Rattus norvegicus: one gene and its partners. The protein of the gene in region 5 interacts with the protein of the main gene of each other region in a pairwise test. Links are inferred from orthologs where the notes say so. Each region holds a gene or a part of one and is shown on either strand. Other genes may lie near its edges. The genes, in order: Sos2, Wasl, Sh2d4a, Asap1, Grb2, Hnrnpc and Prr22.

The links.
Region 1: the proteins of Grb2 (region 5) and Sos2 interact in binary tests that used the Homo sapiens proteins (3 or more experiments, as listed by UniProt). The link is inferred for Rattus norvegicus from reciprocal best matches to the Homo sapiens genes GRB2 and SOS2.
Region 2: the proteins of Grb2 (region 5) and Wasl interact in binary tests that used the Homo sapiens proteins (3 or more experiments, as listed by UniProt). The link is inferred for Rattus norvegicus from reciprocal best matches to the Homo sapiens genes GRB2 and WASL.
Region 3: the proteins of Grb2 (region 5) and Sh2d4a interact in binary tests that used the Homo sapiens proteins (3 or more experiments, as listed by UniProt). The link is inferred for Rattus norvegicus from reciprocal best matches to the Homo sapiens genes GRB2 and SH2D4A.
Region 4: the proteins of Grb2 (region 5) and Asap1 interact in binary tests that used the Homo sapiens proteins (3 or more experiments, as listed by UniProt). The link is inferred for Rattus norvegicus from reciprocal best matches to the Homo sapiens genes GRB2 and ASAP1.
Region 6: the proteins of Grb2 (region 5) and Hnrnpc interact in a two-hybrid assay, tested with the Homo sapiens proteins (2 studies listed by BioGRID and IntAct, with this or other methods). The link is inferred for Rattus norvegicus from reciprocal best matches to the Homo sapiens genes GRB2 and HNRNPC.
Region 7: the proteins of Grb2 (region 5) and Prr22 interact in a two-hybrid assay, tested with the Homo sapiens proteins (2 studies listed by BioGRID). The two-hybrid records come from large-scale screens. The link is inferred for Rattus norvegicus from reciprocal best matches to the Homo sapiens genes GRB2 and PRR22.

Annotation. Positions count from the first base shown.
Region 1 is NC_086024.1:93,787,368-93,791,199, forward strand, and holds part of Sos2 (son of sevenless homolog 2), read right to left. Parts: intron 3,700-3,832; coding exon 3,527-3,699; intron 1,069-3,526; coding exon 952-1,068; intron 1-951.
Region 2 is NC_086022.1:54,066,257-54,070,088, forward strand, and holds part of Wasl (actin nucleation-promoting factor WASL), read right to left. Parts: intron 3,016-3,832; coding exon 2,929-3,015; intron 2,278-2,928; coding exon 2,181-2,277; intron 1-2,180. UniProt on the Homo sapiens protein: Regulates actin polymerization by stimulating the actin-nucleating activity of the Arp2/3 complex. Involved in various processes, such as mitosis and cytokinesis, via its role in the regulation of actin polymerization.
Region 3 is NC_086034.1:26,127,332-26,131,163, forward strand, and holds part of Sh2d4a (SH2 domain-containing protein 4A), read right to left. Parts: intron 378-3,832; coding exon 266-377; intron 1-265. UniProt on the Homo sapiens protein: Inhibits estrogen-induced cell proliferation by competing with PLCG for binding to ESR1, blocking the effect of estrogen on PLCG and repressing estrogen-induced proliferation. May play a role in T-cell development and function.
Region 4 is NC_086025.1:97,979,038-97,983,535, forward strand, and holds the start of Asap1 (arf-GAP with SH3 domain, ANK repeat and PH domain-containing protein 1), read right to left. Parts: upstream 2,914-4,498; 5' UTR 2,826-2,913; intron 2,596-2,825; exon of another isoform or gene 2,150-2,595; intron 1-2,149. UniProt on the Homo sapiens protein: Possesses phosphatidylinositol 4,5-bisphosphate-dependent GTPase-activating protein activity for ARF1 (ADP ribosylation factor 1) and ARF5 and a lesser activity towards ARF6.
Region 5 is NC_086028.1:101,445,030-101,449,654, reverse strand, and holds the start of Grb2 (growth factor receptor-bound protein 2), read left to right. Parts: upstream 1-1,516; 5' UTR 1,517-1,577; intron 1,578-4,625. UniProt on the Homo sapiens protein: Non-enzymatic adapter protein that plays a pivotal role in precisely regulated signaling cascades from cell surface receptors to cellular responses, including signaling transduction and gene expression.
Region 6 is NC_086033.1:27,279,653-27,284,142, forward strand, and holds the start of Hnrnpc (heterogeneous nuclear ribonucleoprotein C), read right to left. Parts: upstream 3,064-4,490; 5' UTR 2,910-3,063; intron 2,326-2,909; exon of another isoform or gene 2,289-2,325; intron 1-2,288. UniProt on the Homo sapiens protein: Binds pre-mRNA and nucleates the assembly of 40S hnRNP particles. Interacts with poly-U tracts in the 3'-UTR or 5'-UTR of mRNA and modulates the stability and the level of translation of bound mRNA molecules. Single HNRNPC tetramers bind 230-240 nucleotides.
Region 7 is NC_086027.1:1,684,857-1,688,818, reverse strand, and holds Prr22 (proline-rich protein 22), read right to left. Parts: upstream 2,525-3,962; 5' UTR 2,470-2,524; coding exon 2,358-2,469; intron 2,274-2,357; coding exon 2,208-2,273; exon of another isoform or gene 1,916-2,207; coding exon of another isoform or gene 1,783-1,915; coding exon 707-1,782; 3' UTR 690-706; downstream 1-689. Other genes in the region: Dus3l (tRNA-dihydrouridine(47) synthase [NAD(P)(+)]-like), read right to left, coding at 3,068-3,140, 3,219-3,347, 3,441-3,629, 3,765-3,840.

The DNA of each region.
Region 1 (3,832 bases), on a different chromosome or scaffold from region 5:
CTGTTATGAGGACAGGAAACACAAACCCCCTGGTTCACTGTCTTACCACAAATCAGCATGCTCTAGTTGTTTTTATTTTTCCCCTTAATACTTAGGATGGCTTTCCACTGCAAATCCCCGGATAACTGAGAACTGCAGCAACCACTCCAGCGAGGAGTCCTGCAGGGTAACCACAGAACCCTGGGCTCTGTGCGGGTCAAAGGTACCCAGCACAGCACACCCACTTTTTCCTTCCCTGCCTTCTCACTTGTTCCATCCAGCTACCTGCTTTTGGCCTCACTTTTGTATACATTTTTTCTTATATCAGGAGGTACAAAAATGGACAGAAAAGTAAATGACACCAAAATGAAGGATACTTAGCACGATGTGGGCCTAGTTCTTATACCCAGTGCTGCTTTTTTTTTTAAATCAGTTTCTATTAAAATGTTGACATTTTCTGCTAAGTATTATTTTCTTTTTGTGATGTTAGAGGGCGAGCCAGGGCCTCACACAGGAACTCTTATGTCTGAGCCCCAGCCTACCCTGTATACATAATTTTGGAAATAGAATAGTACTGTAGAATAAAACAGCAAAACAGCTACTGCTGAGAGATCAATTTTAAGAGAATTAGGTTGTTAAACATTGAAATTATTATTAAAGATTATTTATGTACTTTATATATGTGAGTACACTGTCACTGTCTTCAGACACACGAAGAGGGCATCAGATCTCATTACAGATGGTTGTGAGCCACCATGTGGTTGCTGGGATTTGAACTCAGGACCTCTGGAAGAGGAGTCGGTGCTCTTAACCGCTGAGCCATCTCTCCAGCCCCTGAAAATATTTTATTCTTTTTTCTTTTTTTCGGAGCTGGGGACCGAACCCAGGGCCTTGCGCTTCCTAGGCAAGCGCTCTGAAAATATTTTAAAAAAGAGACAAAACTTCCCATAATTACAATGAGTAAAGACTTACAAATCGAGGTGGTTGTTTGCAGTTTCGGGGTTCAATTTCATGAGATTTGTTGAACAAATAATCTGTAAACTCTTTTTCAGATAAAAGTCCCATGGGATTGAGGTTTTCAAAGAATCTCTAGAATTAAACACATAAATACACATATATACTAAAATTAGATCCTATTAACTTTAACAATAAAACAAATCAAGATACCACAGTATTCGAGTCTTTTAGACAGATTGCTCTTTCTTCTCTCTATTTGTGACTAAGACTGTACAATTTCCAAGGAAGCAGCACCCTAGCCTCATAGTTTATTAGTACAACGAACAGATTCTCAGCTCAGTTGTTGGCATCACTTGTTTCTTAGCAACTGTCTTCCTGCTCACTATGACAGCAAAATTACTACCATTCATCTACCAACAGAGTTTACAATGAAGATTATGCCCGAAAACCACAGCATGTAGTAGATAAGCAGGAAAAAAAGTAGAGATAATTGGAGTAAGGTATATTCAAAAGTAACTTAAAAGACAATTATAGCTTTAATTTTTTTCTGTGTTACCCTCCAAGGCCAAAAAAATGTAAAAATCCAAACCTGTGTTTATCCAAAAAAAAACTACTACAAAAAAAACTACTACAAATATATATTTTAAGCTTTTTTAAGTAGAATATTGAGATGATTTAGTAAGATGCCAAAAAACAAGGTGTGAGCGTGCACATCTGTGTGTGTGCATGGATGTGTGTATGTGCATGTCTGTGTACCTATGTGTACGTATGCGTGGGTTTGTGCAGGTGCAGAATGAGTTTCAGGAATATGTCAGTGGCTGATATGAGTGGTGGGAACTGTGCTCTGGTCCTCTGGAGGAGCAGTGCATGCTCTTAAGTGCTGAGTGCATCTCAGTCTTCCAAACTGTAAATGACAAAATGATCTGGGCTTGGCGTGCAGCTCAAATGGCAAAGAAAACAAAAAAGAAAAAAGAAGCAGTTATTTCATTGATCAGAGGCTCTGATTTTAGTCTGAGTGTCTCTGGACTTTATTATCTGTGTGATACATTAATGCGAACACTGTTACTATCCTAGGACTGATTTCAGCAATCTCCATAGAGATTGCACAGTTTTTTCTAACTCATTGTCATATAAACTGTGTTCAACATTATATATTTTTCTTATTCTCTTTTATTATTTCTTTTTTTTTTTTTTTTGGTTCTTTTTTTCAGAGCTGGGGACCGAACCCAGGACCTTGCGCTTCCTAGGCAAGCGCTCTACCACTGAGCTAAATCCCCAGCCCCCTCTTTTATTATTTCTAAAAGAATAATAAACATAGGAATCTAATTACTGGGTTTAGCTTTTTTTTTTTTTTTTGATACAGGGTCTCAAAAAAAAAAAAATTCAGGCTGCTTTGAACTTGTAATCCTCCTGCCTCAGCTTTCTACATGCTGGGATTACAGGCATGTAATTTTACCAATAGGTAAAATGAGCTTTACATTTCTTAATATAAAATCCTTTCTATTCTTCAGGCATTCTACAAATGTCAGAAAAATTATTATTTTTACTTTAATATACAATTTCTTCTCGGGTCATCAAGGATACAGTAAGGAGCTGTCAGGCAACAGTAATTTCATCCTTTATAAAAGCTGTAACAGATGCACTCTTTATTTCTCCAACCTTTGCCTTATTTTCCAATAGTGTTTAAGTTGGTTAACTATGCCTTGAAGGTGAATGGCTGTTTATTCCCTTCTTTGGAGACTAGGGCTCATGTTGCCCAGGTTGACCTCTATCCACTGGGGAATGGCCCTGAACTCCCAATGCTCTAGCCCCACCTCCCAAGTGTTGGGTTATGTGCATAAGCCATCATGGCTGGACCTGGCTCATTTTAAATTTACTTTGACTCAATTCTAAGGAAGGGAGATTTGCTCTGCATGATGGTAAGAAGCATAAAGAAGATCACGGAACTGTACTAGCTGATATTTCTGAGACACGAATGAGAAGAGTACTATTTCAAATGTACTCAACCGCATTGAAATGTCTTTTATGGAAAGTACACTGCAGACTCTAACCTGGGCTTTAAGAATACATTTCACTCCACAGCACAGAGGGCAGACATAGTGAGGAAGGAAGGGACAGCCACGGCAGCTCATCACCACTTTCTTTTTTTGTGGTATTGTATAATCTATATTAAACATTATTACTCAAAACGAAACACCAACTGACAGGATGTGTTTTGAAAATCTGCTATGCATATATACCTGCTATTCTCCAAGTCCTTCACAGCGATCACATGAAGGGATTCAATGTTATGTCAGGCATGCGAGACACGTAAAATGGCTATCAGTCAATTACAACAGCAGCGGGGTTTTATTTTATTGCACAGATGTTCCATTCCCTCTGCCTTGTGTGTAACCACCACACAAGGAGGCAGGACTCTCGGAGAAGGCCCTTAACATTAGTGACTGCTACAGCATAGACACCCGTGTTTACATTGCTATCTCAAGTTTAGCCAAGGGCAAACAGAGAGCATGTGCATCACTATGACACTTTTAGCAATTCCACAGGATTTAATGCCATCTCTTTCAAAGATTAGTAAGAAAATATTTACCCTCATCTCTGGTTCTGTCCGTAAGCAGTATGGTTGGTTCTGATACTGCTGAATCTCTCCGGTTATTTCAGCCACTTTTCTCCTCTTACTGAAATTGATCAAATCTTTCCCTTTCCTCTTTAGAAAGTCGCTGTTCCCTTCTTCAGTCTTCAGAATATTTGTTAAATATATTCCTAGCAAAAGATGTTCAAAGTTATTTCAGACTGGTCGCATTTAGTTAATCACCCGGGAGGACACTGGGCAGGGGGAAGACAGACACACTGCAGAACCCAGCTCAGCTTCCCACTTCCTCACGATGGCGGGAAA
Region 2 (3,832 bases), on a different chromosome or scaffold from region 5:
GTTGTTTACTAGCTAGAACCCTGTGACTAAGGTAAAAAAAGGAGGAGACAAGGTATGAAGAGCCAGCCAACAGTGACCAACTCAGCTGTACCCTTAAGGCCATGTTCTCTGTGCAGCTGAAACAATTAAAAGTTTAGACAGCCACTATATGCAGGACAATTCCTCTACTTCAAAAATGTCAGTTATTCTGACTAAAGCATTTCACAAAGGTCCACTAGATACTCATCACAAAATGTCACTAAATCCAACTCTAGAGACTCAGAGAGACAACACAGTACATAATGGTGCTTGCCTGGCAAGTGTGAAGTCTAGAGTTAGGATTCCAGATTTCATGAAAAAGCTTTGCAGGTGGCAAAGAAAGGGAGGGAAAGGAAGAGGGGGAGGGGAAGGGGGAGGGAGGAGAAGGAGAGGGACAGGAAGAAAGGGAAGAGGAGACGGGGAAGAGAAGAAGTCCCAGTGAGGATCCAGTATTAAGAGCACACATAGGAGCCACAGGCCTCAGACCAGAACAACGACTCACTGCAATGAACACTTGCAAGGAAAGCTGTTTGGACCAAAGGGTATCTGTGTGACGTGCTGCACTCTCTGTGATGAGATTTTGTTTTGTTTTGTTTCATTTTGTTTTTTAGTCTTTGTTTTCATCTGGGGGGAGGTTGCAAGGGTAGAGAACAGCTTTGGATAGACAGAGAGATGTGTGGGATTGGGGTACATGATGTGAAATTCACAACAATAAAAAGTTTAAAAAACATACTGATAATATACTGGGATATTTGAACACTGAGTATTTGGCAATATTAAATAATTATTTTTTCTTGTAATAATTTAAAAAAGACTAAAACTGCAAAATATACTTAAATATGTTTTTTGAATGCCATTAATGCAAATTTAGGAGTGGCTGAACATAAAATTTTATTTGTAAAAAAGGTTACTGAAATTAAAATATTTCTTTTGAAGTAGGTACCATGGAAATTTGTTGTAGAGAAAGCCAGACAATAACTATTCAGGCTATATGAGCTTTGCCACAACACTAACTGTGCCGGGACAAACACTAGCCATTGCCTGTATGCATATGGATGATAAAGCCAGATGCCCACAGTTCACACAGTAACATGCTGAACCAGTGTGGCCTTGGCTGGGACAGAGTGAGATGGCTCCTGCTCCTGGGACAGGGGTGAGCCTCCATGACTATCGATGGCTGCTTTGAGCATAAGGCTTGTTTGTGTGATAATGTACAGGTTTTCTGGAACCAGTTCTAGCAGTGGAGGACTCTTTCCCGCCCCGAGGAATGTCCTTCCTGTAAACATTAATGATGCCATAAAGGTTAGTAAGAGCATGAGTCCAGGAGTTGAGGATGTAGTTAATGTCTCAGCAAAATGATACAGGCTGGGACCTTCTGGACAGCCCTTACGGCTATGGGAAAGAGCTCTAAATACATGAGTTACAAAATATGTAATTTCTCAACTATGCAAAAAATGCAATATGAATTATGAGGTGCTTTAAGAATCTAAAGGAACAAGTGCTATGTATGCTATGAGCCAGCTTGTCAGAAAGGTACAGACAGGCAGATGCCAATGCAGGAAGATTCCTAAGTTCAAGGTCAGCTTGGGATAGAGCAAGGTTATACTCAGTCATGGTGGAAATGGTAATTTTGGGACAGGGCCTCTAAATTTTTTTGCAATGTTAAGAAAAAAGTATATGCTTGCTGTCTCCTAAGAATCAAAGGGCTGGGGGTGGGGTGGGAGGTCATGGGATACAGATTCATAGAATAATCAAAAGGGAACCTAGAATAAATAACTTCATTGATATGTAAACAGAAAACCGATTTTGGCTTGCATGAGATGTGCTGGCAGAAAGCAATAGCAGCTCTTTAGAATTTTCTCTAGTGAGAGCTGAATTATCTGAAGATGTCGAAGAGTGAAAACAGTTCTTCTTCAATAATTTTTTTAAACAGGATTTCTGACTTGGTCAGAAGGATCCAATGTTTTATAGCAGCTTTTCTGACTTTGGTCAGCGAGCGCACTCTGCATGAGCCTTGCTCCCAGTCTGGGAAGCCACCTCAGCAGAACCCAGGCTGCCAGTTTGGACCACGATTTGACTTTGAGAATCACATCTGCCTGATAACTAGTTTGCTGGTTCATGTGATGTACACAATGCAAAAGGAAAAGCAAGGAGGTATTTACCAGATTTCCTTTGTCGTCGACCCAACAGGTCTGTAACTGCTTTTCGGAACTTTTTTGCTTCTTCTTCATTGGCAAAATTAAGAGCTACTTGACAAGTCTGAAGTATTTCCATCAAAAAGAACAAACAAGAAAGTTCATGAACTTAGCTTTATAAACCAAAAATAATGACAATCCATGGAAGCACACAAGGAGCAAAGTTACATTTTAAGTAACTTCAAGGCAAAAAGCTCAGAAAAGGTAAAGTAAGACTATCAGAAAAGCTTCCTTACTTGGCAAAAACTTAACAACTAAATACTTTGTCTTCAGCAAAAAAATTACATTTGGTTTCAACAGAACTTTATAAACAACATAGATTGAACAAAGGCAACTGTGGTGGTTTGAATGAAAATGGCCCCTGTAAGGTCACTGGCTTCACTGCCTAGTTCCCAGTTGAAATGTGGCCTAACTGGACTGTTAGGCACACTGTGGGTGGGCCCTGAGGTTCCAAAAACTGGACTCATTCCCAGTCAGCTCTTTTTGCCCCATGCTTGTGGATTAGAGGTAAGCTCTCAGTTACTGCTCCTGAGTTCACTGTAGCTGTGATTATTGTCATGATGGTCACAGACTCACCCTCTCAAACTGTTAGCTCCAAAGAAATCCTTTCCTCTGTAAGTTGCCTTACCTGTGCTATTTCTTCACAGCAACAGAAAAGTAATTAAGACAGCAGCCAATAGGAAAATTACCAAGATAAAAAGAAAATAGGACTTACATCTCCAGCAAAGGTATGAAAATATCCTCTAGGACTATTATATACAAAGTTATTGTATAGCTCTTGTTCCCACAGTAATTTCCCATCCTAGAAAAAGAAAAAAAGTTAAAATCTACTAAAAAAATTCTTCTAGGATTAAAAAGGAGACAACTCCTTAAAGGGACTGTTTTTATAAACAAAGACTTTTAGGAACATATATTTGTCATATACATATAACATACACAATACAGTAACTAAATGGAACCTGTTTATAAGTGGTTTCATTCAGCAGGGCAAGCATTTCCAAGTACAGCACTTAGCAGAGTACAGAACTAGGCTCACTGGAATAGGGACATCACTCTAGGCAAGTGAGATAGATGCTCCACTGTGTAACTCCGTTAGCTAAGCTTTCGGTCATGTTCTACCAAATGTCACAGTAATACTGTTACCCTTTTCCTCAATTACAGATGCAGAATAATCCAATACACTGTCTCTGGGCTGTTCGGTAATACTCTGAATTCTAGACCTCTGCAGAGTGGCCTAAGGAGACACTAGTTCAAGTACTATCAACCATGCAGCAGCAAGACAGGTGATTGAAACATAACAAATTTAACCAAGAGATGAGAGTTCTACATACTACCATATCTACAGACACAATGTAAGAAATCTACTTATTCTTCATGCCAAAGGTGGGTAATTATAATTAGTAAGCAATGGCTACCTCCAATCAGAATTAAATAGTGAGAAAAATGTAATCACTGCCGATTTGAAACCCAAAACTCCAACTACATCACAAATTTAAAATATGAAAAATCAACAGCTGAGGTTGCCAGCACTGAGGAGCTTTGCTCATAAACACACATCACTGCTCATTGAGAAGAGCGCTAGGTTTGGAGGTTGCAAGACCTGCCCTACTTGAGGCCAA
Region 3 (3,832 bases), on a different chromosome or scaffold from region 5:
AAACATTCTTCAGCGGGCTATTTTCCACAGCTGTGTGTAATTCTGCCGAGCAGAAACTCTCTCTAATTTAAGGGTACAGCGATGAAACCAAACCTTCCTGCTACTCAAGTCCCCGAGGAATCAGCATTTACTGGTAACACCTGAGTGACAACTCAGTGGACAGGTACTTCTCCAGGATGAGCTCTGGATGCCTCCCGGATGCTTTTGCACTAGAAGGCCCGGCTGAGACCCTGCATGGTGCTGCCGAGAGATCCTGGGTACTCACAAGATGCTTGCCATTCGGAGTCTTCTTTCCAGTTCTTGTATATCTGCTTCGTTTTCTCGTCCTCTGTCTGCTTCAGTTCCTCACTGTCCTTTTTCTTGGTGAGGTCTTTAGTCTGTTTGAAAATAAAAACAGAGATGGGAAGAGGAGAAAAAACGTGACAGGTTCTTTAAGAGGATAGGCGGCATCTGGGCTTCTATTAAATTCTCTCCGCCCATTAGGGAGATACTTGGTGTCAGCAATGCCGGAAGCTAGAACTTCAGGTATCTCCATGTGGGACTTTCTGTTCCTGATCCTCTCACAAGCTGTTTTCCCAAAGTACAGCTAGAAAGAGCATTCCATAGAGTTATAGTGAATATCTGTGTTTTCAAAAATGCCTAGCACAATGTATAGCATATGCCTTTACTAAACAGACATGGCTGACAGATATTCCAAGTTTCCTTCTCTGAAGTAAATATGTCAATTCATGGGACCAGCGTAAACACTGATCTGCTGTAAACTTCCAGGGGCAGTCTCAGCTGGGGACTATATATTCTCCAACTTTTTATACAAACAGGGAATATGATATATGATTTGAGATGGCTCACAAAGGCACGGGGCTCTTTTGTTTTCTTCTTAACACACACACACACACACACACACACACACACACTATGACCTCTGAGAAGGGGAAATACACTACAGAGTAAGTACAAGTTCAGGACAAACTATTTTGTAAGACCATGTCTGAGAACTAAAACAGGGTCATGGTTTCGGCTCAGGAACATGGAACAGCTTGTGAAACTTATTACTGCGTTGCCTAGCGTGAGCAAAGCTTCAAGCTCAATGCCCCGTGCCATAGGGCATTGGAGAAGGAGAAGAGGGGGGAGGAGCAGGAGAAGGAGCAGGAGGAGGAGGAGGAGGAACAGGAGGAGGAGTGGGAGGAGGAGAAGGAGCAAGAGGAGAAGGGTAGGAGAGAGGTGGAGGAGGAGGAGGAGGAGGAGGAAAAGGAGGAACAGGAGGAGGAACAGGAGGAACAGGAGGAGGAGCAGGAGGAACAGGAGGAGGAGCAGGAGGAGGAAGAAAGTTGATCATGGATTCCAAAAACATGACAATGATGACTTTCCAGCTACAAAGATGGGCTCGGTGTGTAAAGTGCTTGCCGAGCTAGTACGAGGACCTGAGTTTGAATCCTAGTATTATCCACGTAGTTGCTTGGCCTGGTGACATGTGCCTGTAACCCCAGAGCTGGAAGGGTGGGAACAGGGGGATCCTAGGGGCTTGCTGGCAAGCCAGTCTAACTGAAAACAATATATTCTACGTTACATGAGAGACCAAGTTTCAAATTAAATGTGCAAAGCCCCAGAGGAAGACATCTGTGCCAACCTCTGGCCTCTGTCTGCTCATGTACTGGCAGGGGCATCCTCTTCCAGGTACGTATATAATACACCCTCATCTACACACAAATGTATACAAAGACTTCCTTGCCATGAAAGTATTTTACCACAATAAAACATAAATCTCGCTGGGAACCTTAGCTTGGATTACTGTAGAGAACCATAAACCAGCAGTAAGGTCGTAACCCTCTGAAACTGTGCTAAACTTAATCTGCACACATCTTATACCTTTTATTTTTTTTTAAACATAGTTTCCTGCCTAGAGCCACGAACCTATCATTTGCTGCACATTGTTTTTTGTTTGTTTTTAATTCAAAGAAAGCTTGTGGTGGTAGAAATGACTGAAATGTGTACTGAAATGTGTTACCCTTTACTGAAATTGTTTACAAACCTGCAGTACATTATGTACTGCTCTCGATTTTCAAACTTGAATAGAAAGAAAAAGAAAAGGAAAAGCAATACAAAAACAAAAACAAAAACAAAAACCAACCTAACAAAACACACTTAAGAAAGGAGCTCTGCTCATTTGGAACACCTTTTCCTGGGCAGATGTGAGCAAACTAGTCATGAAGGAAACACTTTCCCCAAGTCTAGACTGAGGAAACAGAGAAGTTACTGGGGGTGCTCATGGGAGCACTTGACAACTGAAAGGCAGATATACCAACAAGCCCTCTCCAGTACAGTAAACACTCACAAGTTCTATCCTTTGAGTCATTAACTCACCTTGCAGGTAGAGCCACTGAAAAGCCCCAAACCTGTTATTTACTGCCTATCTAACCTTGGACTGGGTGGGGTGCTTATAAGTTCTCCATTTTGTGAACCTCCCTTTCCCTGAATGGAATGTCTTGGCCAAGGAACCAGCTATGCAACACATGCATTTGTATTTATTTAATCTCTCTCTCTCTCTCTCTCTCTCTCTCTCTCTCTCTCTCTCTCTCTCTCTCTCCTTGTCTTTGTCTCTCTTTGAGTGTGATCATATGTGGGCATTCCTCTGTGTAGAAGTGAGAGGGCATATAGAGGCTAGTTTTCAACATCAAGTGTCTTCCTCAGTCATTTTCCCACCTACTATTAGAGACAAGTTCTTTCACTGAGCCTGGGGATCTTTGATTCACTAGATCCTATTGGCCAGCAAGCCCCTGTTGTCTGCCTGCCTCTGCCTGCCATAGTTCTAAGACATACACCCCTGCATCCCCATTTTTACCTGGGGATCAGAATTCAGGTCCTTCTGCTTGCACAGCAAGCAGTTTACAACCAAGCTATCTCCCAAGGCCCTGTTTTCTTCTTAAATAACCTCACAGTTCCAGCGTCACATCAGGACTCTGACCCACTCCGTCGCTGAGGATGAACAAGAAGGACAATGCCTTTTACTTTTATTTGTGTGTATGCATGTGTACAGATGTGTACAGGTGCCCTTGTTGGACAGAAGAGGGTATTGAATTCCCTGGAGTCTGAGGAAGCTGAGTGGCATGGTGTTGGTGGTTGTGGGACTAAAACTCAGGTTCTCTTCAAGAGCATAGCAGTCTCTTCATGGCTGAGCCATCACTCCAGCCAACTCCCCCAGTGCCCTATGCCCAGGTTGTTTACTAAGAAGTTTAAAACCACAACCCACTGAAGGACAAAACATTAAAACACACACACACACACACACACACACACACACACGCAGAGAGTACCTGGTTGATAGGTGATAATCAGATGTTGGAGAGTGCTATATTTAGTAAACCCAGTCCTTTCTTCTCTACAGTGTAATTATATGGCACGGTGGAGAAGAAGTGAGCCTCACGAGTAAATAGCAGATGAGATCAGGCCCGGACCTTTCTGTTTATCCAAAGAAGCTTAGAAAAGTAAAGGCTTCTTTCTAAGTTGATGTCTAGGAGAGGAGATCCTGTTTCATCACCTTCGTTCTCTGGGACCTGAGGCTGACTCTCTCATTCATTCTCGCCAGTTACCTGCCATCCTGTTTTGGTCACATCAAAGATGCCTTCAGCTCGGTGTCTTTGTGCCTGGACCCTTTGTGCTTGGTCCCTCTGCCTGGACTGTATTGCCCTCTCATCCACTGTCATTGCCTCCCCAGGCTCTGCCCCATCATCTCCAGGTGGCCTTCTCCAGTCACCACCCACCTCCCAGCCTCCACGCTCTGCTTCATTCTCCCCAGAGTTCTTATGCTCACCAGACTTCATGGAAAAAAGATTAT
Region 4 (4,498 bases), on a different chromosome or scaffold from region 5:
AAGGCTTAGCCGTAGAGCAGGTGTTCCATGTATGTTTGTGGAATTGATTAATTAAATGAAAGAGCATAATCCTGACAATGAAAGATGAGGCTGAAAAGAAGAGGCCTTGAGAACAGGGTGCTATTCATCTTTGTATGACTAGTACCTCCCACAGAGGAGCCACTTAGCAAATGTTTACTGCATACAAGAATGACTCAATCCACATGAATTTGAGAAAGGCTGTCCTTTCTGAGAAAGACTTCCAAGGAGTTCCCTCTTTGGGGGACCCGTGTGTGTGTGTGTGTGTGTGTGTGTGTGTGTGTGTGTGTGTGTGTGTGAGAGAGAGAGAGAGAGAGAGAGAAAGAGAGAGAGAGAGAGAACATGTGCACATCTGCCTGAGTACACATACCAAGGAGTGAACACAGGATCAAATGGGGTCTCTCACTGTACCTAAAGCTAGGCCAAGGCAACCATGCTGTCTTCACCCACTCACTCAGTGGGTGTGGATTTACCAGGGCATCTAGCTTTTTACATGCATGCTAGAGATTTGAACTCAGGTCTTTATGCTTGTACAGCAAACACTCTTCCCCACTGAGCCATCTCCCTAACACTCTCTTGGTCCTTCTTAGGAGGCAACAAGTCGAGAGCACGCAACAAGTGCTTAGTGTCACTGTCATCATCGCTTATGTAAGGATCATTTGTGCAGATTTCTAGAAAAGCCCTTGGAGCCCATATCAGATACACCAGTGAGAGAAAAAGAAGAGGGGAGGAGAAAATGTAAAGGGACCAGGAAGATCCCATCAGACACAATGAGACCTTGGTAGGGAAAACCCACGAAAAGCACAGGTACAAGGGGCTCTCGTTTCCCCTAGACCGCAGCCACCTGGGAACAACATGGAGCAGCCAGCTGGGAGGAGGGCCCAGACTAGGAAGGCTAGGCTTGAATGCACACATTCATCTCTAGCCTGCAAGGCCTGCATTGGTATTGAAAATCTATCTGGCTGTGGTTGGGGAGGACTGGAGAGGTGTAAGGAATTTCAATTTCCTTCACCAAATGGCAAGCTTGTGAAAAAGTCCTTTCTCTCCAACATTATCACATACTAAAAATGAAAAGCCAGCCACTCAGCTTTCAAGAAGAGGAAACTAGGTGGGCTGCCTGGCTCAGAGAGAGAGGAGGACTCAGAATCGAGACTTCTGAAAATCTCAACAGCACATTCTATGTCAAGACAGTGCCGGTTTGGAGTTTGTCTGTTTGAAACAAAAAAAAATGGAAGACTAGAGAAAAGCAATTCCCCATATAACAACTACCACTATACATTTCAAATCCATTTGGTAGCTGAATCCCAAATCCACTTGCATCAGTGAACAGAAATTGGACAATGTCTTTTCTTTTTCTTTCTTTTCCTCTTTTGCTAACTCTTAAAATCATCCTTCGAGTACTTAAAATCATTATGCATTCTAAACAGTAATTTTTAAACTCCTAATCTCAAAATATGTTCTTTGAGATAACTGCATGTCTCTAAAACGGCGGCAATAACAGATAAGAGAACAGGAGAAGGTGCTAAAGTGGAGACCGTTGAGAGACACAGTAACACTTGTGGCTGGCAGATCACAATCTGGCATAGTCACAGAGGCCAGGCCCCAGAGTTTATAGACTTGGAAGTTAGCTATTCCCAGCCAGGCCACCAAGTAGTTGTGTCCTTAGACAAAACAGGTCTCTTTCTGAAACTCTTCCACATTAAAAGAGAAAACAGTTGTTTTCCGAGATTCTTTTCTTCTATGGCCCCCTCAGCCCCATTCCCAAAGGCCTTCTAGTGGCCGAGCAAGAAGACCTGGCCACTCAGGCTAGAACAGACATGAAACTGGCCTAAAAACTAAATTCTGTGTTTTACAGTCTCAAAACATTACTCAGCAATCCTGTATCACTGCTATCCTAGAATCAATTCTGCTAAAACAACCTGATGGAGTCGATACAAGGAGGAAAATGGTCTTTTGCATCAGTATGCTAAGGGTAAGGTCAAGTTAACTTGGTCTAGACTTAGCTAAGCCTCTCCTTGATAAAATGAACCCGCCCTACGAGGGCGCGAGATGATGTATCTGGATGAATTAAACAGTAGAAAACCAGATACCAGCGAGTTTCTCTTTTTCCCCCCGTTTCGTTTAAACTTACTGTTGCTCTCATAAAAAGCATCAGGTTCCAAAATTGTACAAGCGGAAGACACAAGGCACTTCTCGGTTCCCACGGGGGATTACCACCCCCATTCCCGGCTTCTTTTGCTTTTAGTGGTCTGGGGCCTGCCTGGCAGCGCCATGTCCAGGCCGGGACCCACGCCGAGGGGAACTTTCCTCCGCTGCGCCAGAGACAATGCGGCGGCCAAAGCCCGCGCCTCCCCGCCGCGCGGCTCAGAGAGCGCCCCGGGATAACCGGGAAAAGTGCCGGGGAGGAGAAGGAAAGCGCCCCAGAGGGCCGGGAGAGCGCCCGAGGGAAGGGAGAGCCCCGATGGGAGGGGAGAGTGCCCGGGAGGACAGAGAAAGCGCCCCAGCGGACTCCGAGAGCGCCCCAGCGGCTGCCCGGGCCTCCTCCCTGAGCTGGGAGCCTTGCGCCCTGGGCGCACGCCCCCAACCGGAGTCGCCTCCGCGGAACAGGAGAACGCGCGCTCCGGCGCTGCGGCAGCGGAGTTCCCGGTCCGCCCCGCCAACCCCTGCAGAGCCGGCCGCGCGCCCCGCACGCCCCCGGCTGGTGCTCTGCGGGCAGACGGGGACACCCGGAGCCCACAGGGGTGTCCGGGTGGCCGTGCAACGCCCCGCCGCGCCTGTTCCCGCCGCCCCGCCGCCTCGCCACTCACCGGGACCGGGCGGGCCGCTGGGCATTATTCCATCACGGGCGCGGCGAGGCCGGGCGAGGCGCGGGAGCCGAGCGCGGCGCAGGAAGGGGCGGGTGACCATGTGCCGAGGGGGAGGAGGAGGAGGCCGGCGACGCGGAGCCGCTCTCTCGAGCCCGCTCGGCGGCGACGGCGGGCGCGGGCTGCAGGAAATCCAAACACTTCAGCAGGAAATCGGAATCCTGACTAAGCACTCCCGGCCCGCCGCTGCCCCGCGCCGGGGGCTCCCGCCGCGCTTAACCCTTGGCCAGCCGGCACACTTCAGGGCTCAGGAGTAGGACCGTGCAGGAGGAGATGCATGGGGTGGGCCTCCTTGGCCACAGAGAGCAGAGGTGGGGCTTATCAACAGAGAACCTTGGCCTTGAAGTGGGGCTTGCTAAAGCTAGGACACCAGAAGACTGTGGCCTCTCCCATCCCGCCATGACTTCTCCTAGGCTACTTTCGCCTGTTCCTTCCCGTCGATTTCTATCTTTTTACCCAGTGCCTGGAGGGAAAACCGTTTGGGTCAGCACACCACACTGATGATCTGGCATATCGCACATTCCGGTCTCTGAAGCCTGGTTGGAGAATGGCCTTTTCCTCTTTCCTGCAAATGATTCTTCCTTAAGCCTCAGTTTCTCAAATAAGAAAGGAGTGTCATAGTCTTCATTTGAAAACAAGATGCTTAGACAGGGATGTTGGCAACATCGGTGATACCCATGCTTGGGTATTGCTGCAATCTAGAGACTTCAGAGAAAGGAGGCTTCTAACTTGTAGGGTGTGTATTCTGCATGTCTGTGTGGACCTACACAGCTCAGGGGCAGGTCTGGCCTAAGGGTGTCAGTTTCTCCTTAATTACAGGTGATTGTTTTTCTTTGAGTCTTGTCTGTAGAAGAAAAGGTCAGCCACTGCATAGACCCTTTTCTGGTGAAATTAGAAATTCACCAGGACTCACAAGATTTGAGATTTTGTTTTTAACCTGAGGGTGGGAGACTTCGGGGAGGGCATGTTAATAAGCCTTGAGATGCCCCTGGAGGTTTAAGAGAACCAGCAGGGGAGTCTGGGCAGCCATTGGGAGTGATTCATTGTGGTTTCCCCAGGAAATGCCACATTTTACCTGTAGGCTGCAGTTTGGTGGTTTTGCTTGAGTGTTTCAGATTCCTCTGACTCCGAGATTTAGAGGAAGGACCACGTGCGTACAAGCGAGAACTGAAGTGAACATGCTGGGAACTGAAACTTGGGTACCAGCTTGTCTCCCAAGGACGAACAGACCTGTGCTTGGCAGCCAAATGCATGTCTTTTCTCCAACACTTTCACTGGTTACAGGTCACAGGAAAAACTCCAAGCTGGGCTCCAGGAACCCAACCAGGGATTCCTGTCCTTCACCTACCATCCTATCTACATTTGGGAAAGAACCTCTACCGGTCTGAAGTTGACAGATAAATCACAGAGCAGAAGTTGGGCCCTCACAGTTCCCCTAACCCTTTGATCCACTTGGGTCTGGCCCCCACACCGTCATCGCCATCACCTCCCCCAGCATCCCATCCCAGAATTCTTGACTGTCTCTTTTGTTCTGACTCACAGTGCCGAATTAGCACATGGGAGCCCCTCAATTAGTACACGTTGGATGTGAGGGGCATAGACTAGAGATCCAGATC
Region 5 (4,625 bases):
CTAAGTAATTCTATCTAGATTGCAAACTGCTGGAATCATCCGGTTTCATCTTTTGCTCCAAGGAAGGCATTTTCAATGCAAATGAAGCTCCGTAAACACTTGGGGAAAGAACGGTTCACTTTCCTTATTCTAGGGGACCCATCTCCTCTATTGTAGCAGAGGTGGGTATTCTCAACTGAAATTCGTTGGCTTCTAGAGAACGCACTAGCATAGGATGTGTTCGTGCTCTCCTGTAATTGGAAAGAGCTTTTGGAACTGAGAGGTACTTCTCCAAGCTTTCCTCTACCGCTCCCCCATAGCCGGCAGCCCCACATAGGAATCTATGTACTTTGCATGGCACAGAACACGACTTTCTCACGCCTCCATCCATCCCTCTGTTCTTCTGTGCTATTCCGTTTGCCGGCTATGGGCTTACCCTGGCTCCTGTGCTGTGCAACTCCTACTCACCCTCAGCACTCGGCGGCACATCACCTTCTTTGTTAAGTCTTTTATGCAGTGGGCAGAGGAACAGAGCCAGCCTTTCTCCATCTTTTTGGCTTCCTCAGCATTCCCCCAAAGTACTATGTGTAAGTGTTATAGTTTGTGTGTGTGTGTGTGTGTGTGTGTGTGTGTGTCTGCACGAGGGTGTGTGCAGGTGAATGCCGGTGCCATCAGAGGCCAGAGGCACTAAATCTCCTGGAGCTGGGGTTACAGACAGTTGTGAACCATGGGATGTGGGTGCTGGGAACTGAAATCAGGTCCTCTGGAAGAGCAGCAAGCGTTTTTGTTTTGTTTTTTTGTTTTTTGTTTTGTTTTTGACCTCTGAGAGGTCTCTCCAGCCCAAGACATTACTTGTTTACTCTTCTGGTGCTTCTCTCGATTGATTGAATCGCTTAAGGGCCAGGATCTCTGCTCGTCGTTTCATCTTCTTTACCCAGCACAGTGTTTACCTACAGTAGGTATGTAGTTCACTCGGTGAACGGACTAATCAAACAGTTCATCAAACACTGCAGGTTGTACGAACCAGATTCCCAAACATTTCTAGATCTGGTCCTCTATTTGGGTCGAACCATCCTGAGATCTGCCGCCCCTCGACCCCTCCTCGAGGCCTCTTTGCTTTGCTTCGATAGAAAGAACGCTATTCGAGTGTGGAAAGCGCTATTCCGCTAGAGCAGAGCTGTAATTCACTTGCTCCGGCACGCAGAGGGTTACAACGGCCCAGGGGCGGAGCCGAGTCCCTGCCACCTGCTGCGGGGCGAGCTGACGCATGCGCGAAGTCCCCCTTAGGCTACCTGCCGGGCGGAGCGGAGGAGGAGCGCTTGCGCTCTGGGCCTTTTCCGCCGGGGAAAGTCTCGCGGGGGCGGGGCGCGGCGGGGCGGGGCCGCGTGGGGAAGTTCTCGCGGGACCCTGGCGAGGAGCGGAAGCTAGGCTGCTCTGCTGCTTCTGCGATCGGGCGGCGGCGGGGCGAGCCAAGCTGCGGCGGGGGACGGCGGTCTGGGCAGCGGGCGCCGCAGTCAGGGAGCAGCAGTGAGGTTGGCGGCCGCGGGCGGCAGCACAAGGCGGGCCAGGCCGGGTGAGGGAGCGGACGGCACGTCGCGGTGAGTGCAGGAGAGCGGGCGGGAAGTGAGCGGGGGCTCCGTCGTCCCCGCGCCGCGCCGGGCAGCTCGGGCCCGGTCTGCTCCGGGCTGCCGGGGCGGGCCGCTCGCGGGTCGGGGAAGGCTCGGACCGGAGCGCAGCGGCTGCGCAGCCGTCTCCTCGTTTCCCCTTTTGGGGCGCTTCCTTCCTGGTGTCGGTCTTCCTCCCGCTCGGGGCAGAGACCGGGCGAGCCGACGATTGAGGTCCGGTGTGGCGGCCGTCCGGCTGGGCGCAGAGGAGCCCGGAGCAGCCGAGAGGCACAGGGTGCTGCTCTGAGTCAGGCTGACTGAGCCCGGGAGGCGGGGGATTCGGTGCCGGCTGCTAACGTGGTGATTGATGCTCCTTTGACCTGCAAGGCAACCACGTCACCGTCTCTTGGCATCTTGCGGTCGAATTGTGTGCGGGAATCCACCATGACTTAGAATGATTGTTACCCGGACCCACCGACTGGTCTTTGCGAGAGTTGGGAGCTTCTTTTGTAGAAGTACTTGAGAAAAAAAAATACTTGTTGTGGGGGGAAAAACAGCAGCAGCTGATGGGAATGCTGGCAGGAAGGATTTTCGCGGAGAGAGCCCCGCTGGTTCATGTCCGTTTGCAACGCTCTAGGTTGTGTGGGTTTGTAAGAAAGTGATTTTTAGGGTGTCTTCAAAAGCTATATAGCAGTGCAGTTTGCCGGGAAGCCGAGGCGCGTTCAACGTCCGTCTTTTGATGGTGTTGACATTCAAAAAGAGGCTAGAGAAATTGGCTTTCTTTTGACTTCTTCGCCTCTCTTTCACTTTGCCCTGCAGTTTTTGTCCTTTCAGTCTCTATTCCACTCCACTAGGGACACGAAGTACATTTTTTTAAAAAATTTATTTATTCTATGTATATGAGTATACTGTAGTTTTCTTCAGACACACCAGATCCCATTACAGATGGTTGTGAGCCATCATGTGGTTGTCGGGATTTGAACTCAGGACTTCTGGAAGAGCAGTCAGTGCTCTTAACCGCTGAGGCATCTTTCCAGCCCCACGAAGTACATTTGTAACGCCAGTCATTGGCGCCTCCACCCCCTTTAGAAAATAATCTACTTCCCCTTCTTGTTCTTCCTCCGCTATAATTTTCGAAGTTTCTGCCGGTTTGAGCACTGTTAATTTTCTCAGTCGTTCTAAGATCCCCTTTTTGGGGGGGGTAGATACCTTCCCTTGTTTGCATTTCTTTTTTTTTTTTTTTTTTTTTTTTGGTTCTTTTTTTCGGAGCTGGGGACCGAACCCAGGGCCTTGCGCTTCCTAGGTAAGGGCTCTACCACTGAGCTAAATCCCCAGCCCCGTTTGCATTTCTTTTAGACTGTCCTCTGTATTCTTCAGCCAGCCAGAAGGGCTACTAAGGAGCCATCGGGGTGCTTGAGGGGGTTTAAGTTCTCCCCCTGGGAACTAGAAAACCCAAAGGACTGAATTCATTGCTAAGTAATCGATAGTGCCATCAGATCACAAGTGGATTTGCCTGTTCGCTTGTGCTATTTGTATTTTGGTGTTTTCTTCACAAGGTATCCTTTTGTGCCTACTATTTTCCTTCTTTCTCTCTCCTGTTTCTCTTCTCTGTTAGTAAGGAAGATTTTGAGCCAGTTTGGAAGCTGAAAGACTCCCCCCCTCCCTTTTTTTTTTTTCGGAGCTGGGGACCGAACCCAGGGCCTTGTGCTTGCTAGGCAAGCGCTCTACCACTGAGCTAAATCCCCAACCCCGAGGTCAACTATTGTTAAATGAGAAATCATCCGTGGAGTTTGTGAAGTAAGATAGCTTGAAATAGAAGAGAACTTTGGATATTTGTGAATTAAGTCCACCTTCCTCTCCTGACTAATGATATAGTCCTAACCAGGCTTTTTAAAATGATTTTTAATTTTGTATGTGCTTGAGTGAGTTTTGCCTGCATGTATGTATGGAAACCGTGTGCATGCCTGGTGCTGTCAGAGGCTAAAGGAGGACAAATACCTTGAACAGGAGTTACAGAGGGTTGTGAGCAGCCATATATATATGTGTGTTAGGAATTGAACCCAGGTCCTCTGGAAGAGGAGTCGGTGTTCTTTAACAGCCTGAGTTGCTATTCTCTCTAGTCCAATAGTTTTAAGCACTACTCACTGGTACTGAGGGTTTTTTCCATGATTTCTGTTATGTCGCATGTATACAGCAGCCCTTATGGAGAATTATGAATTAGGAGACAGCAAGACAGAGCTGCCACTCCCGGACAGGCATTTGGTGTCGTTACCTGCTGACCTCAGAGGCCTACACCTTTGGCCACGGTTATTGAGATTTATTCTTCTGTGTTTGTCAGAGTTGATTTTCCCGAGTTGTGCCAAGTCTAACATACATCATTTTCATTTTGTTCAGACGTAGTGCACTGAAATGCAAATTTTAAAATTTGCTTAGTGCTTCCTCATTTTAGCCTTGATTCTTAAAATTTGTATGTATAGACATAACCTGCCAATTAAGGAAGGGCTGGAGAGATGGCTCAGTGGTTAAGAGCACCGACTGCTCTTACAGAGGTCCTGAGTTCAATTCCCAGTAACCACATGGTGGCTCATGACCATCTGTAATGGGATCTAATGTCCTCCTCTGATGTGTCTGAGGACAGCTACAGTGTACTCATATATAATAAATAAATAAATAAATCTTAAAAAAGAAACCTGCCAATTAAAATTTTTTTATCCAAAAAAATTTTTTTGAGACAAGGTCTTGATATATTGTACAGGTTGGTCTCAAACTATTTCTCTATTGATTTATTTTGAGGCAGGGTCTCTCTGTTTAGTCTTGGCTTTCCTGGAACTCTATCTGTAGGCTACCTGGGCTGGCCTTAAACTCAGAGATTTTTTTTTGCCTCTGCTTTCCAAGTGCTGAGATTAAAGTTGTGCACCGTTAGCCTGGTTTCACTTTGCAATGTCCTGCTTCAGTCTCACCTCAGTGCTTCTGCTATCATACTGGGTAGAGGCCCCTTTTACAGTTAGGTAGTGGCAGAACTCCAGCAAGATTGCATAATGT
Region 6 (4,490 bases), on a different chromosome or scaffold from region 5:
ATGAAAGTTGAATGTAAGTAAATAATGCTAAATACTAATATACTTGACCGATTTATAGTAATACTCTTGTTAAGGTAGTCAATAGCAAAATAACATTTGTTACTGGCTGCCCTGGAACTAGCTACTTAAGCTAAGCTAGCCTCCAACTCTGCCTGCCCCTGCCTCCCAAGTACTGGGGTGCATACTCCACCAATAAGAGGCAGTAATAATTTAGGAAACAGAGGTGGGGGTGGGGTAGGACAATTTTTTGTGTATTTTGTCAACTACTTTCAGCAATGACTAGGGTTAAATGAGAACTCAAAATTTCCATATAAAGTAGTAGTTTAGCTTGTTTTATATCTCAAAACAAATCCAGAAGTCTAATTTACTGGATACTTACATAGTTTTACACAGCCAAGATTTTTCAATTGTAGTTTCCCTAGTTAGTAACTTCCACTCATCATCTATAAGACTGTAACGAACTATTTAGGAATATATTCCTTACTTGCTTGAACAGCCATGCCCATTTATAACAAGATCACAAGCCAATAAATCTAGAGATCAAATTGCAAACATGTTATAATTACTCTACAGAAAAAATAGTAACCATTACCAACCATTTTGGAAAATGGCTTGACCATGGCAAATGAGAGATCCAAACCTTGCAATTTTAACAGCTTCCTCCCAAGTCAAATCAAAAATGTAATTTGAGTCTGGCCTCAAAACTCCAAGAAATCCACATGTTCTACCAGAACAAGGTGCCTACCAAGCCTGGCCTACATTTATAACACTTAATGGCAAGTATACATCAACTACTACCAGTAACCTTGCATAACTTCTGACATTTATAATACTTTCTCTTACCTAGTTTTCACTGTTCACCAGGCAAAACCCTGTACTCTATCTACTTTTTAAAGGCACATGCCTTTAATCCCATCTCTTACTTAGGCGGAGGCAGGTGGATCAGAGTTCAAGGCCAGCCTAATCAAGACAGTGGGTTCAGAAAAGCCAGGCCTATTGCACAGAGAAACCAAACAAAAAATGTGGGAGGCTGTTTTTTTTTCCTTTGTCTGCATTTGTTCTTCTTTAGACAGTCTTAATACTCCAAGCTGGACCAAGGATGGCCTTGAACTCTTCCTACCTCTATCCCCCAAGTGCTCAAATTACAAGAGTAGGCCATGCACATTCCATGAAGTATGCTTAAGAGTAAAATGTGTGTATAGTTTAAACTAAGATTAGTAGCATATTTTTGTCACTTAATCAAACCCATTGTTTTCTGTATAGCCCTGGCTGTCCTAGAATTACTAGATTTACTCTACATTCAGATCTCCTGCCTTCCTAGTGCTGAGATTAAAAACTGTGCCAGAGTGAAATACCAATTTTATAATAAGTTTATCTAATGAAATAACTCCCAGGTAAGTTAATGTGACACAAAAACCCTTTATTAGTATGGGAGATTGAATCCTGGGCATCTTGAATCCTAAGCACTATCACTAGCTATATTTAAAAGAACTCGGACGGAGGAGATGGCTCAGGGGTTAAGAGCACTGACTGCTCTTCCAGAGGTCCTGAGTTCAATTCCCAGCAACCACATGGTGGCTCACAACCATCAGTAATAAGAGATCTGATGCCCTCTTCTGGTGTGTCTGAAGACAGCAACAGTGTACTTATATAGAATAAATAAATCTAAAAAAAAAAAAAAAAAGAACTCAACACCTACAAGAGAGCAACTACTTTAATTTTTAAACATGTTTTACTATGTAGTCCTGGGCTGCCTTGCAATGGGATCTTGCTCAGGATCTTCCTGTCTCTGAACCTCCAGAATGCAAACATTCCGGGCCTGCACTACCATAACTAGCTGTAAACTGCTTTTTTTCCATTCTAGATGGGTAGGATTAATACTGGAGTATCTGTAAACTATTTCTGTGCCTTTTAATTATTGTTCCCAAGTCCAGATTGAAAATGTCCTGTAAATTTCGGTATCAGGTTCCTCTAAAAAGAAAAACTCATTCCCACCCCACCCCCCTTTTTGAGACAGGGCTTCTCTGTGTAGCCCGAGCTGTCCTGGAACTCTCTCTCTGTGACCAGGCTGGCCCACAACTCAGAGAGATCTGCCTGTCTCTGCCTCCCAAGTGGTGGGAGGCATTTGGCGTGCACTGTCACCACCTACCGGCTAAGTCTCTTCTTGTGTATAGTCTATTCTAGTAACTTGACCTGCCTAGAAATATCTTAGTTTCTCTACTACTGATTTAGTCCGGTCCTGTCAACCACTTTTAAGTCTCACTTCTCTCTAGGACAGCAGTACCTACCTCAAGCAAAGTTCCACTAACTTATGTGATTTGTAACCTGCAGATAAAAAGCTGTAATTATTCCAATTACAATTTACCTTGGGCACTTCCCTTTACAAACCAAAAGCACTCCCGACTTTTACCCATCTATCCCTTGAAGAAAAAAGTAATCACTACTTAATCTATTGTTAAAACGCCGTTCAGATGCCATGTGGCCGGCCTGGAATTTAGAAGCTTCCAGTACTACACCACCATGTTATCGCTCCCCCACCCACGCCCGACATTTAGCTTAGAAGACAATAACGGAGTAAGAGATTCACTACAATTACATTAACAAGCATTTCGTTCTTCGCTTTCTTGCTCCCCTGCTCCCCCTTGGAATCCTAATGGGGGAAGGAAATGAAAGTAGCCGTTAAACACCAGCGCGCAAAGAGGGTATTTTCGTACGCACCGTGGCCTAGAGGTCACTAGGTTGAACCTGCGCCAAGGCCGAGGCCTGTTGCCTCCCGCCTTAGACCCAATCCCCAACGCACAGGAACAAACGCGGCCTCGGTTTCTGCCGCGAGGCCGTTTTCTCGCCTACAACCCCCTCGCGGGGCCCAGCAACCCAGGGCCTCCCCTGCCCTCGCCCTCTCCGCTTACCAAGAGGAAGGAGAGAGAGAGAAGAGCCTGCCTCTCCTACTGCGGGTCTACGCCGAGAAGCCGGAGCTACAACAGCAAGGAACCACACGACCGTTCGCTCTCCGTCTCTTCACAAAATGGCCCCCGAGCTCCTCTGCCGCCGAGGCAAAAGTCCAGCCCCCGCCCCGCTCCCGGAGGCGTTTCTATTGGCTGTGACTTTTCTCGCTCCCGCTCCTAATTAGATAGCGTTACCGCTCCTCACAATTCCGTCCAATCATCACACGAGGTGGGTTGGGCTAATTGGGAGAATTTCCACATGCGTAACAAAAGCTACTTAGTAATTGGTTAAGCTTTCTATCACTTAGTGTCTGACGGATGGTTATTGGTCACTGTACCAGACGGAAAGCTGGGTGGAATTTTCGCCTTTGTATCGCGCACAGCTTCTCATCCGGGTATCCGGCGGACCTGACTGACGGCCGTGTCGTCCTATCAGTGCTTCCTAGAGATCCTAGGTCCGGCCAGATCACCGCATTTCCGCGGCACGGAGGTGGGAAAGCCTGGGTGGAGTCTGGTAGCGGGTGCAAAGGGCCTGCCCTAGCCTCAGGCCTTGGAAAAAAAGGGAAGTGCAAACAAGCTTTAGAGAAGGGAGGATCGTAATCCCTAGGCCGCCTGAAGTGTTAAAAACTAAACAGGTCTGCAGTTATTTTCAAATTCAGATCCCCTCTCATTGCCAGATTCTATAAGCTATTGGAAGGACGTGGCCTTGTCAGTGAACAGCTCCCTCCAAACCAACTGGTTTCCATAGTTCTCTCCTATAAGAGCAATTGCCTAGACCCCTATAAACCCGTTTCCTGGGCCCAAGTCGTCACACAATCTGCAAAACCAATGGCCAGCCGCCTCAGTTTCCCACTTCCTGCAATAGCTTGATACTACTTAACCCCCTCAGCTCGGCCAGTAAAGCTCTGGTTACACTGTAGAAACATTAAACAGGCCAAAAATGTATATAGCCTACTGAGAAAGGGAAAGAGTACCCCAGGAAATTTCCTGATTTAAAAATAAAAAATAATCTTTTAGGTCTTCTTTAGACCTTTAAACCTTTGACATTTTCAAAGGATTTATTTTAAATGTTCCAGTCCAGCGAGTTTATGTGTTCCCAATTTTATTTTATTTTTTTTTTCTTTAAAGAAAGGTTTGGGCTAGGCGGTATTTCTAGTGCAAGGCCAGTCTACTCAAGTTTCAGGACAGCTAGGGCTGTATAGTGAAACTCTCTGTCGAAAAAACAATAAATATAAGTACCTAGGTAGAGGTAGGTAGGTAGACAGACAAATGGGAAGCCCTTCATGGCTAGGCTTGCGGGCCATTGAACCCCAGGTTCCTTCTGTTTTCACTTCCCTGGTGTTAGGAACAAACACGCAATGATCTCCTCTGACAGAGCTCCTAAGCACAGGCAAAGCAGTTCTGTAAAGAAGTTGGCTTTGGTGAGGGAGGTGCACCTGAATCCAAACCAGAGTAGCAAGCAGGAAGTTCGCTTTGGTTTTTTTGCTACTTATTTAGTCAGGGTCAGACTATGCAGCCTGTATGTAGACCAGGCTGGCATCCATC
Region 7 (3,962 bases), on a different chromosome or scaffold from region 5:
CCTGCCTTCCATAAACTCTGGCTTTGTTGGGCACAGGTGAGGTGCAGTAATCTGGCAGGCCAAAGGGGACGGCCACTCTCCAGGGCCTACCTACACACCGCATCTCCAGGTTTGTGCCCACTCCTCTCAGGACACTTTGACTCTGACCACCAAACATACGAGGGAACCCATTTCAGTAGTGTCTGGAAAAGAAAACCCCACTTCTCAAGAGACCTCCCAACATGGCCAGTCTGAGGCAACTGCCTTTCTTCTTGAGACAGGCTCAGGGAGCTCAGGCTAGCCCTGAAATTCTGACTTTCTCCTACCTCCTCAGGGCTAGGGTTACAACCATGTACCACACTCGCTTTATATAGCACTGGGAAGGAGTCCAGGGTTTTGTGAATAGTGACTGAGCCCCACGCACTTTACCAATGAACCCCCAACCTTCTACCAGCTGAGCTGCAGCACCATATCTTCATTTCTTGTAGATGAGGCTGTACTTTGTGACCAAACTGGCCTCCAACCTCCTACCCAGGCAACCTAAATGTAGGGCTAACAGTTTAGTTTCAACCCTGATACCTGACAGTCCAATTCTGAGATTCCTGACTCAACTCTGAAGGCACGTGACTGGCACCACCCCACCCCCAGTCTCACCATGCAGTCGGCGGTCTTGCCTGGTCATGGTCACAGGACATGTGTCCACACATAGCTGAGAGATCAAATGGCTTTAATTGGGGGTGGCTCCTGGGTCCAGCCTGGGTCCTGTGGCAGTGGTGCCAGCAAGGCCAGTGGCCTGCCTGTGTCTACCGCTTGGTTTCCCTTTCTTGGTGGATGTGCTCGGTTTTTTCCCCGGTTGATGGGACCGCAGGCCAGGGGCCGCCGTGTCAGTGACAGGGGCCCCAAGATGGGGCAGCGGCTCATCCTCCAGGGCCTTGAAGCTGAAAACATAATCCACGTTGGCCACCGCGTCCAGAATCTCAGGGACACTGTAGTCAAAGGACAGCAGGTCATCTGGCAGGTGCAGGGAGCGGATGTCAGTTGGGAAGTCGTCCCCACCACCACCACTGTCCCGCAGTCCGGGGCCAGGACCCCTGTGCAAGGCCACCTCAGGTTCAGTGCCACCAGGGAGACAATCAAAAAGTTTCATGGCATCTTCTAGAAGGACCTTGTCTGGTAGGAAGAACGCACGAGCCACCTCGGGAGGCACGGTCTCACTTGAGCCCACTGGGGTGACCTCCTCCACCTTGGCCACCGTGGGCTCTCCAGGCCCAGGAGGGAACTGCAGACCCGGCCTGGCTGCACCACTACTCTGCAGCTCCCTGGGGGCCTCGGTGGGCCTCATGGTCACCTGGGGTCCTGGAAACTGGCTGGTCTGGCCACCGAGATGGCCATAGGGCCCAGGTGGCAGCGTGTGTGCTGTGGGGACTGTGATAAGCAAGGGAGATGGCTTAGTCTCTTTGGGGGTTGGCGGGGGTGCCAGGCCGTCTCTGAGCACCTCCATGAAGTTGAGGGGCCCTCCGTCCCGCATGAAGCCCAGAGCCTCAGGCATAGGCTCCTCTGGTGGAAGGAAATGTGTGAGGTACTGTGGCCCGCTGGGGGCCGGCTGGTAGTGGGGATAAAGCAGAGGTGGTGGCCCCGGGGTCTTGAGGTAGGACGGGGCCTCCAGCAGGTAGCCACCAGATAAGGCAGGACCCCCAGCCACTGCCACCTTGTACAGGGATGACTGGCCAAAGTCGGAGGTGGCCCACTCGATGCGGTAGATGCGGGGGTCGAAGAAGCAGCCGCAGGGAGCCATCTGGAAGCCTGTGGGTGGTGGACACCTGAGTGGGGCTCCATGGGGGAACCAGGCCATGGGGGTTGAGGGTCCCAAAGCCCAGGACATAGGACACAGCCTTGGCCTCTGAGGAGCCTTGAAAACTGGCTGTTTACCAGTCATCTGGGGACTCGTGGGGGGCAAGACACAGAGACTGTTGGGGTCCTCTCCTCTGATGCCTCTCAGGAAAACAACGACCTGAATTCGGGTGCCCAGGCCTCTCAGAAAGCCTTGCCTAGTGGCAGCCGCTGTCACCAAAGCAGGCTTCAGCCTGCTCTCCAGTGTTACTTCAAAACATGACACAGTTCAGCTATGGGGGTATCTGTCTGGGGTAGAGGGGACCCAGGGCAATTCTGGGGTCTCATCTTGGGTATGAAGCCTGTTCAGAGCGAGGCTCAAGGGTGCCGGCCGATACCTGCTGGAGGGGCTGGAAGCACTTCCTGGTCAGAGCCGGGGTTCTGATAGTGCAGGTTAGCATTGGCTGTGGACAAAGGTGCCTGGTAGGTGGGGCAGGGGCCCAGGCCCCATAGCCATCACACACCCCTGTCCACCACCACCATCATACCTACAGTGGGAAGGGGTTCTGAGCCACCTGGTACCTCAGGGCCCTCCAGGTTCTGCAGGCTGAAGCTTTCCTGGGGTATGGCTGGGGGATAGAGGGTTTTGGGATGCTGCATGGGTGAGACAGGCCACCCCGGGGGGGCCCGGGTGGCAGCAGAGGCACCTGGGGACAGAGTCCCGCTGGGTTCTGTTTGCACCGTGTTGCTAGGTGGAGGGTTCCAGTCCAGGGCAAGCCCATCACTTGGGTTCCGGAGGAGGGGGAGGGGGTGGGCAAGAGGCGGCCCTCTCCACCCGGAGCCAGGTCTCTGTTGCTGCCTCCATACAAGTCACCCAATTCAAAGTCCCAAGGACACTGCCCAACAAAACGGGACAGATTAGAGTCAGAAAACAGTGCAGACGGGGACCAGGCACCTGCCAAGGCCACCTCCTAGGAGAAGAGGAACAGAGGCCATTTTAGGTCACCTAAGAAAAAGCCAGTGTGATGGACGGTGTGCCTAGGATTCTAGGAGTTCAAGGCCAGCCCATATAAGATCTTATCTCAAAAAACCCAACAAGGGGCTGGGGATTTAGCTCAGTGGTAGAGCGCTTACCTAGGAAGCGCAAGGCCCTGGGTTCGGTCCCCAGCTCCAAAAAAAAAAAAACCAAAAAAAAAAAAAAAAAAACCCAACAAAATAAAAGAAATTCTACAAGAATAAAATTTATTGTCTCTGTTAGCTACTTGTAGGCATTGGCTTTGTGCTTGGGCAGGAAGACGAAGCCAGGTGGAACTGGTCCAAGCAGCATCTCACTGTGGGGACAAAAGTGACAGATCAGATCAGGCCTGGGCCTCACAGCATCAACCTGTAGAGCCCTGGCCAGTGCGTACCTGATTCGAATCCAGTCTGCAGCCTGCTGGCTGGCCATGAGTGTCTCCAGGTAGTCACGGCCTAAGTAGTAGGGTGGCCTTTCATTGATCCTCTGTGGCAGTCGTTCCAGCAGGCCCACGGGCACATACCTGTGGGCCAGGAGGGCAGAGGAAGCAATAAGGCTCGGTGAGGTCTGAGGCTACAATCTCTTACCTTGGCCATTTGCCTGGTTCAGTGCCCACCTGCAAAGAAAGGAGAGCCACTCAAGAAGGAAGCGCCGGGTCCGTTCCACACCCTGTGTGTCAGAGCCCCAGTGTTCCAGGCCATAGTGTGTGAAGTCTCTCAAGATGTCCAGGCGCTCAGAGGATGAGATGTCCCAGTGTCTCTGTTCTTTGATCTCAGTGAACAGCCAGGGCTTGAGCAAGGCGCCACTACAAGGGAGATGCTCACTGAGGACATGGTGCCTCCTAGCTCCAGTCACCTCAGCAGCCAGGCCTCGGCCTCACAGGGTCCCCAGGTGCAGAAAGTTCTAGCATTGCTGTCCCAGCCCATCTGGCGTCACTTACCGGGCAACCATGATCCCAGCAACCCCTGTCTGCATGGCACAGTTGGCGTCCTCAAACGAAAGGATGTCTCCATTTCCTGAGGAGACACAGTGGGGTCTTGACAGTGGCAGGCCCCATGGACATGAGGACACCATCAATCAGTCTTGAGATTTCCAAAGAATCCAGCATCCTCCCAGCTGAGAGATGTGGTCCCAGTGG